Nothobranchius furzeri: one gene and its partner. The protein of the gene in region 1 interacts with the protein of each later gene in a pairwise test. Links are inferred from orthologs where the notes say so. Each region holds a gene or a part of one and is shown on either strand. Other genes may lie near its edges.

The links.
Region 2: the proteins of vps33b (region 1) and vipas39 interact in binary tests that used the Homo sapiens proteins (3 or more experiments, as listed by UniProt). The link is inferred for Nothobranchius furzeri from reciprocal best matches to the Homo sapiens genes VPS33B and VIPAS39.

Annotation. Positions count from the first base shown.
Region 1 is NC_091749.1:29,998,206-30,002,487, reverse strand, and holds the start of vps33b (vacuolar protein sorting-associated protein 33B), read left to right. Parts: upstream 1-1,471; 5' UTR 1,472-1,597; intron 1,598-1,882; 5' UTR 1,883-1,914; coding exon 1,915-2,010; intron 2,011-2,398; coding exon 2,399-2,479; intron 2,480-2,558; coding exon 2,559-2,620; intron 2,621-2,717; coding exon 2,718-2,767; intron 2,768-3,047; coding exon 3,048-3,115; intron 3,116-4,282. Other genes in the region: hddc3 (guanosine-3',5'-bis(diphosphate) 3'-pyrophosphohydrolase MESH1), read right to left, coding at 943-1,054. UniProt on the Homo sapiens protein: May play a role in vesicle-mediated protein trafficking to lysosomal compartments and in membrane docking/fusion reactions of late endosomes/lysosomes.
Region 2 is NC_091742.1:15,282,380-15,286,532, forward strand, and holds the start of vipas39 (spermatogenesis-defective protein 39 homolog), read left to right. Parts: upstream 1-1,344; 5' UTR 1,345-1,409; intron 1,410-1,741; coding exon 1,742-1,834; intron 1,835-1,982; coding exon 1,983-2,085; intron 2,086-2,166; coding exon 2,167-2,304; intron 2,305-2,411; coding exon 2,412-2,450; intron 2,451-2,518; coding exon 2,519-2,583; intron 2,584-2,653; coding exon 2,654-2,710; intron 2,711-2,821; coding exon 2,822-2,914; intron 2,915-2,994; coding exon 2,995-3,028; intron 3,029-4,042; coding exon 4,043-4,145; intron 4,146-4,153. Other genes in the region: activator of 90 kDa heat shock protein ATPase homolog 1-like, read right to left, coding at 528-607.

The sequences.
Region 1 (4,282 bases):
CATGTGCTAGGATAATGCCTCGGGCTCCCTGATCCACTCTTCTACTACTTAGGATGAAATAATCCTGCATAGTCATCTTAGAATATTATTATAGTATAGTATTATAGTATTAACTGAACACTCTAAAATTTAGAGTGTAAATTATCCCTAAGTGTGTGAGTGTGTGACTGGTGGTTAGTTAGTCGACTAGTAAGGGTTAGGAGTTTGCCTTGTAATCGGTGGGTTGCAGGTCTGAACCATCAGGCTCCATTTGGTTCAGTCACTGTGTCCTTGGGCAACACATTTTACCCTCCTCGCCTGCTGGTGGTGGACGGAGGGACCGGTGGCGCCTGTAATCGGAGGGCCTCGCCTCTGTCAGTACGCCCCAGGGCAGCTGTGGCTACATTGCAGCTCATCCCCCACCATGGTGTGTGTGAATGGGTGAATGACTGATTGTGTTGTGAAGTGCCTTGGGGGGTTGTTGAATCCTAAGAATGCACTATACAAATACAGACCACTTACCATCTCCAGAGCAGCCATGGCTACATGTATCACCATCAGCGTGAATGACTGGACTGTAATGTGCTTTGAAGACCCTGACTAATAAATGCTACACAAACGTGCATTATTTTTATGATTTGTCTGTGTTTCCCTGTGATGGACGGGAGACCTGTCCAATGTGTCGTCCTCTCACTCATGAGTGCTGGAATTAGACACCAGGTGCCTCATTTATAACATTTGGTGTAGAACCCTTACTAAAACCAGCAGCGACTGGTTTAAAAAAACTTAGTGGGGCTATATGTGGAATATTTCCCCTCTTAGTTCGTAATAATGTAATGAAATGAAATCTACAATTCACACACACACACACACACACACACACACACACACACACACACACACACACACACACACACACACACACACACACACACACACACACACACAGAGCTTTCTCCTTACCGATGGGATGGTTAATGTAGGGGGTTGAGTTTGTATCTTTGCGTCTCTGATCGCGATGTTTAAACGCAGCAAAATCAGCAGCCTCCAACAACAAAGCTGCGTCTGAATCCATGTTCAGTTCTGTTTGATCAAATTAAGGGAGGTTGCATAAACGTGTTTGGGAAGCAAGCACGGCGGTGTTTCAGATCGGTGTTACGTCATTTCCGTGTTTTACAATCTGCTCCGCCCACTAAAATTTATTTTACTTTTGGGTCTTTGAAAACCAAAACTTGAAAATAGCTAATAATAACAATAATAATCTTATCTGTACAATGTTTTTTCTACTTCTGTGAATTTGACTAAGAGTCCGGAATGAAGAATACTTGATTTAAGGGAGTTTTTTTTTTCCATTCCGGATTGCTATGATGACTCCTCCTGTTGATGAAACGATACCAAAACAGTTAATTATTTTGTGGGAGTTAAGCTAATTCCTCAGAATACTAAGATGCAGTTGAAGAATATTAACTTGTTTAGGCTGGATTTGTTGATGGTTTGGGTTTAAAAAGCATCGACATATAAATTGAAGTTTGAAGTCAGTGATAAGGGCGTGTTGCTTCACTCTATTGTGTCCGGTGGGAAACAGTTGATCGCACGAACTATTATGCTACGGAAGCAGGTAGGCTTCGACAGAAAAACATAATATTAATCTGTTTACTCAGAAAAATGCAGCTTTAGTCAAATTAATATGATGTAATAGTTTGTGCAGAATTATTTCATACAAACGTCAGCATTTTGCTGTTCGTTTACAATGTGCAGGCAAAGATGATTTGTGTGTTTTTAGCCTACAAGCTAACTCTGGTAGTGGAGAGAACGGAACACTCATCGTCACGCTTTATGGTTTTTTTAAATTTGGGGACGTATCTTTGTTGCATTATAACTGTATTTATTTCTGTGCCACCAGTGACTGAATGACGTGTCCTGTTGTGGTTGAGAATGGCTCACAGTGCAAGGAGAGACTCCCCGGAGTTCCCAGACTTCTCTCTGCTAAAGAGATTGGTCAGAGATCAGCTCATCTACCTATTGGAACAGGTAGGAAAACACGCGCATATACCTGTACCTAGCTTAGATCAGCTGTTTGCCACAAAGCATCAGGTTTAGACAAACGCTAGACAAGAAAAACACCAGAAACCTTTTTCACAAGCACTCCAGTCTGTTATTATAGTGGAAAAATCAGTACAACTGTGTAATGACTGATTTATAGGGCTGACGTAACAGCTGTCACAGTCATTGAAGGTGGTACACCTCTGACCACATCCCAACAATAGCGTCAGAGAATTTTGTGATCTTACCATCAAGTTATGTGCAATTCTGGTATTATAAATAATTGAATCAGGCGATGAACTTTCTGTTGACAAGTTTTTCTAGTTTTGTGTAGAACAGATTGTTGTTATGGCATGTGTCTTATTTCATCACACAGCTGCCAGGGAAGAAAGACCTTTTTATTGAAGCAGACTTAATGAGCCCGCTGGATCGGATCGCAAATGTGTCAACACTAAAGGTAAACCTTATTTCCTGCCTCTGATTTAAGACACTAGCGTTTCCAGTATTTCATAAGACATTTGTCATTTGCTTTGTAGCAACACGAAGTGGACAAACTCTACAAAGTGGAATACAAACCTGTTATCAGCACCTCTGATCAGTGAGTTTTGCTGCTTCTTATGAACACTGCATGGAGTAGCGTACTGTCACTAATCCTGTCGGACCCTCTGACATCGTGACATGACATTTCTTCACAGGCTTTGTTTTCTGATTCGCCCAAGAATACAAACTGTCAAGTGGATTTGTGGTAAGGATAGTTTTTCTTACATCTCAACAGCCTAACAATCTAATACGCTTCCCAAAAAAAGCCACATCATAAAACTGACCTATCACAAGCTCTAAACCATCATCCACTTCAGCTGTTGCACATTTGTTTGAAAGATTATATGTTTCCTTAAGAAGTGCCTTCATTCTAAGTGTGATATCAAGACTCCTCAGACCAGGAAATATATAAACATCTTCTTTCATGTGGACTTTCTCTCAGATACAGAAACAGGTGTTTCATAACTCTGACGCTCCTGTTTCAGATGTAGTTAACGCTGACAAGGCAGCTGGCAGATTTAAAAGATACAAGATCATTTTCACACCCCAGAAGGTACGTCATCCTCTGCTGTTGTCAAGACCAGGAGCCTCATTTATAAAGCTTGCTTACACACAAAACGGGGTCGGAAAACTGCGTAAGCAACTTTCCACGCAAACTTTGGGATTTCTGAAAGAAAACTTAGTGGAAAAATGTGTGCAACTTTAAGTTGACTAAGGGCCTGGCTTACGCACATGTTGGACATGGAGAGCACCTGCAGTGCTGCTGCTGAGAAGGATAAAATTATGAAATCCTGCAGCATTATCACTTGTACCGCTTCGCTTTCACGCAGAACAAGACCCCCCACATGCACACACGCGCACACACACACACATGCGCACGCACACACACACACACACACACACACACACACACACACACACACACACACACACACACACACACACACACACAGCCTGAAGCTCAGAATATGGAATGCAGAATATCAGCAGGGGGGCAGATTGAGACAGAATGTCATGCGTCTGTGACAGTGTGTGTGTCCTGTCATTGTGACCAGATTGATCATGCGCCCTGGCTACTTGGACAGAGGAGATCTCTGTTTGGCTGACTAGTTAGCGCGCGTGACTTTCACCTGGGAGTCTGCGGATCGGATCCTGATCGGATCTTTTTTTTTACATCCGCCACAGATCTCTCTGAAGAATTCACAACATTGACGGCTTCAGCAACGCTGTGCCACTCTGTGGATTTTCTTTTATTTGCGTTGCAAAAGCACTTCCTTTCATTTCTCCACCTCACCCACAAGTACCTCAACTTCTGCTTGTGAAATAGCGCTTCCTTGATCCGCGGTCATGATCGAAATGCTGCAACAGCCGGTGTCGGTACAGGATCTGCTCGGGTGCAAGATCGGCTCGGGGTCCGTCGACTGCCGATGACGTCTAAGTAGTTGATTGGCTGAACATGAACCTCACGGAATTACGTAATCACGTTACGTTGTTATCACATTACGTTGGTCCAGGCAAATCTTTCTATTGGAAAGATGGACAACTTTTACAAAGAAATCCATCATTACCTCTTTGAAAATACACTTTTAGCATAGAGCTGCATGTATATTAGGGCTGAACGATTAACTGCATGTGCAATTAAATTGCGATGTGACAAAAGGAGATTTTCTAATCTCAAAGGCTGCAATTTGGCAGCGAGTGGTTAGCGCAATGCTAATAT
Region 2 (4,153 bases), on another chromosome or scaffold:
CCCATTCCATTCCTGTTATAACAGCATTTAAAAATATCTCCACATGTGCTGCAGTGTCAAATAACACACACACACTCTCTCTCTCTCTCACCAAAATAACTCCCTCCAATACATCACAGATATGTCTGGAAGATTCTTCCAAGCTGCTAGAAGTTGCTGTTACCATGGATACCAGATTAGCTCCTATAGGTTTGATCATTTTCATATCTACACAATAAGAGTTTCATTTGGACGTGTAGTTCCAAGGATGAAGTACTGGGAGACTCTAGTCGTTTATGGTTCCTAGAAACATGGAAGAAAGTGTAAAAAAAAAAGACATATTTTCAGAATAAAAGCCTCCAGAGGCCTTAACATGAATCAGTCTTGTTTTTTTTTAAACAAACATGTCATATGAACCAGCTTTTAAAGTTCTTCTATTCTCAGCAAGTTGGTCATCACTTTCAGACGAGCTTTCAGAGTCTAGCTCCAGCTTCATCAACAGGAAGAAACAACCAATAACAAGAACCAGAATAAAAGGACACACCAACCAATGCCAGTTATTGACGTTGGTGGCATCTGCTCTCTCCTCAACAATCCATCGAGGATCTCCTTCTCCCCATTTGGCCATCACAGATCTCTGAAGTCTGATCGCCGCCGGCTGAAGACCAGTAATCTTTGAGTTTTAGCTCCACTATGACTCTGGAGAGGGTCTCAGGGACTCATCTCAGCTGAAACACGAACCAGCTGCTCAAAAGACTTTCAAAATAAAATCGCACAGGATGGAGTTTAACAAAATAAAAGAAGAGAGCCGAGATGTTTACTACAGTTTTCTTCCTCCAGGTGTGGTTAAAGTACTCAGATATACAGATACTTTACTTTAAACCACTGCTAGAACAATTAAAACTAAAATGAATCATCTATAGTTTACAAACGCAATGTGTATCAACATAGACATTATTTATATACACAATGAAAATCATCAAATCAATAGTTATTTTTAAAAATAAAAGATGGATGGGTTTAATGATAATCTTTGTTAAATGATTGATTTCTAAATGGTGGCGAATAATATAAAAACAATAATTTATTTGAGCTTTCAGCCACAAATAATGACCTGATGGGTAATTTAACAGTATTTATATATTCTATAAATTAACCAAAAACATTAGATAGGCAGGAATTTAAAAATAAAACAGATTTAACAGAGAGCTTCTATGTCTAAATTGACTCTGGGCTGATAAATGATGTGATTTACAATAAAAAATAAAGAAAAGTTAATTTTTTTAAACTTTCGCTGAGACATTTAAGGCTATTTTTTTAACCATTTAAAAACCTAATTTTTTACTACATCTCCCAGAAGCCCTTGCGCAGCCGTAAGTTCCGACTCTTCCGATAGAACGGAAGTAGGAAGAGAACCGCGGCGACTGAAGGTAAAAACATTCGGTTGGTTTTGTACGTTTATCACATTTTTACTTTGTTGTCTTTGAGTTTTCTTGTTCCGGCTTAAATGCTTAATATTTCTGGAGTGATTTTACTTTTCCCGCCGTTTGTCATGTCGGAAAATAGCAGTTAAACCCTGACGTTTCTGTTAGCTTGCTAGCATGCTAATAGATAAAATCCAGCTACTGTGGCAGTAACGAGCCTCTTGTGTCATTATTTAGATAAATATGAATGTAAAGTCACCCCATCAGCTCCAACAACACACAGCTTGCCCTTATAATTTATGTCAATAAACCGGATTGAAACTGTTATTTGTGTCCAGATGATGAAGAGTAAAACAGATGAGGAAGACTATTGGAACAGCTCCAAGTTTAAAGCTTTCACCTTTGAGGATGATGATGATGAGTTCAGCAGGGTAAGATCTGATCTAGTGTCTTCCACACAGCTGTTATGTGGAGATTACTGATAAACAATTTAATCGTAAACAGCTATAAATAATCCAAACCCCCTGTTAAAATAAACATCAAAACATGTGAGTTGGGATTTTTGTTTGACAACCTTAGTTGAAGGAGTCGAGGCAGGCGGTGAACAGCATCTGTTCGCTGGTGGGTGAAGACGATGATGATGATGTGGAGAAGGTCAGCTGGAGCGGAGAACCCATCGGCAGTAAGTCACTAAATCCACCTGTGGATAATCCTGAGCTGTGATTGGCTTCAGGAGGATGATGTGTGGCTTCTGTGTCCCCAGGTATTTCCTGGTCCGTCAAAGAGACGGCAGCATCCAATCAGAAAACAGACAGAGAGCCTGCCTTCCCCAAAGTCACCACAGAGACTTCATCGCTGAACAAAAGCCAGTCAGGACTCTCTCTAAGCTCCCTGTTCAAAGGTGAGACCTCACCGTGGTGCATGCTGGGTAAAAGCCTCGTTATCCTGCCAGAGCGAGGCGCGTCCTCCGTGTTTCAGGAAGGTCACAACTGTTTAATCTGTCTGCAGGAAAACCAAAAGGAGGAAACTTACAGACCTTCACAGACAGTGAGTCTGATGAATGAATGAATGAATTGTCTAATCACTTCACTGATGCCACTAATTTTGTGTTTCAGCGCTCGGCGACTCGTCTGTCAGGCTTTTCGCTCCTGAGCTCCGAAAACCAAAGTCGGAGTACAAGGTAACTGCAGGACTGTAATCTGATTACTGTGGGGAGTCCTCTGTTTTTTCTGATGTCATATGTTTGTCAGGATCTCATAAGTGATTGGTCAACTGAAGAGACGGTGCAGAGACTTCAGCAGGGAAAGGTATCTTACCTGTTTGTACCCATCGGTAGTGACTTAGTCTAATAGTCTTGGTTTAGTACTTTTTACTGTGTTTTTGTACTTCTGACTTGTAATTTTTGTACTTTTCTGCAGGTCGTGTCTCTGGAGAAGTTCCGCTCTCTTCAGGACAAACTGCTGCTGCTGGATTTTGCCGTCGCTGCTCACGACGGAAACGTCATCACGGCTGTAACCAAATTCAGACTCTCTAATCGATGGACTTTGACACCAGTCAGACCAAAGTAACGGAGTTGGATGTTTGTTTTCAGGTTCTGATCTTTTTAAAGAGGACTCTCAGTAAAGGTGAGTAGGGCTCTGGGGTCTCATTTATAAAACATTGCGTAGAATCCTCAGCAAAAAAATGTACTTACACCAAGTAGGTTTGTGACCTATAAGACATGGCGTACGCACAGCTGCACGCAATCTCCGCTTTATAAATCAGAAACGATCTAGAAAGGTTCTCAGCTGCTTTTTAGTCACATCCCACCCTCACCACGCCCACTTTCTGCCATAAATGGTCAATGCAAAGTGCCTTGTAGATCTCATGCATATACATAAGCCGGCTAGTTGCAGCATTTTGATCACGACCGCAGATCAAGGAAGCACAATTTCACAGAAGCAGAAGTTCAGGTACCTGTGGGTGAGGTGGAGAAATGAGAGGAAGTGCTTTTAAAAACAAATAAGAGAAAATCCACAGAGTGGCACAGCGTTGTTGAAGCCGTCAATGCTGAGTTCTTCAGAAAGATCTGTGGCGGATATAAAAAAAATGGTCCAATCGGGATTCGATCCCCAGACTCCTGGGTGAAAGTCACGCACGCTAACCAGTCACCCAGAGGGAGATCTCCCTTGTCCAAGTAGGCAGGCGCATGATCAATCAGGTCACAGTGACAGGACACACACACTGTCACAGACGCATGACATTCCGTCTCAATCTGTCCCCCTGCTGATATTCTGCATTCCGTATTCTGCGCTTCAGGCTGTGTGTGCGTGTGTGTGTGCGTGTGGGGGGTCTTGTTCTGTGTGAAAATGAAGCAGTACAAGTGATAATGCTGCAGGATTTCATAATTGTATCTTCTCAGCAGCAGCACTGCAGGTGCTCTCCATGTCCAACATGTGCGTAAGCCAGGTCCTTAAAACTTAAAGTTGCGCACATTTTTCTGATAAGTTTTCTTTCATAAATCCCAAAGTTTGAGTGGAAAGTTGCTTACGCAGTTTTCCGACCCCGTTTTGTGCGTAAGCAAGCTTGATGAATGAGGCCCCTGGTCCGGTTCTGCAGCAGAGTGAACCGCCGGGTTCTGACTCTGTGTGCTTCATCAGAGGTTTTATTCCGAGAGCTGGAGTCCAGACAGACGGCGCTGAGACATTTTGTCCACTACCTGAGTGAGACCAGAGACCAGAGCCTGCTGCTGGAGCTGCTCAGGTAAAAAT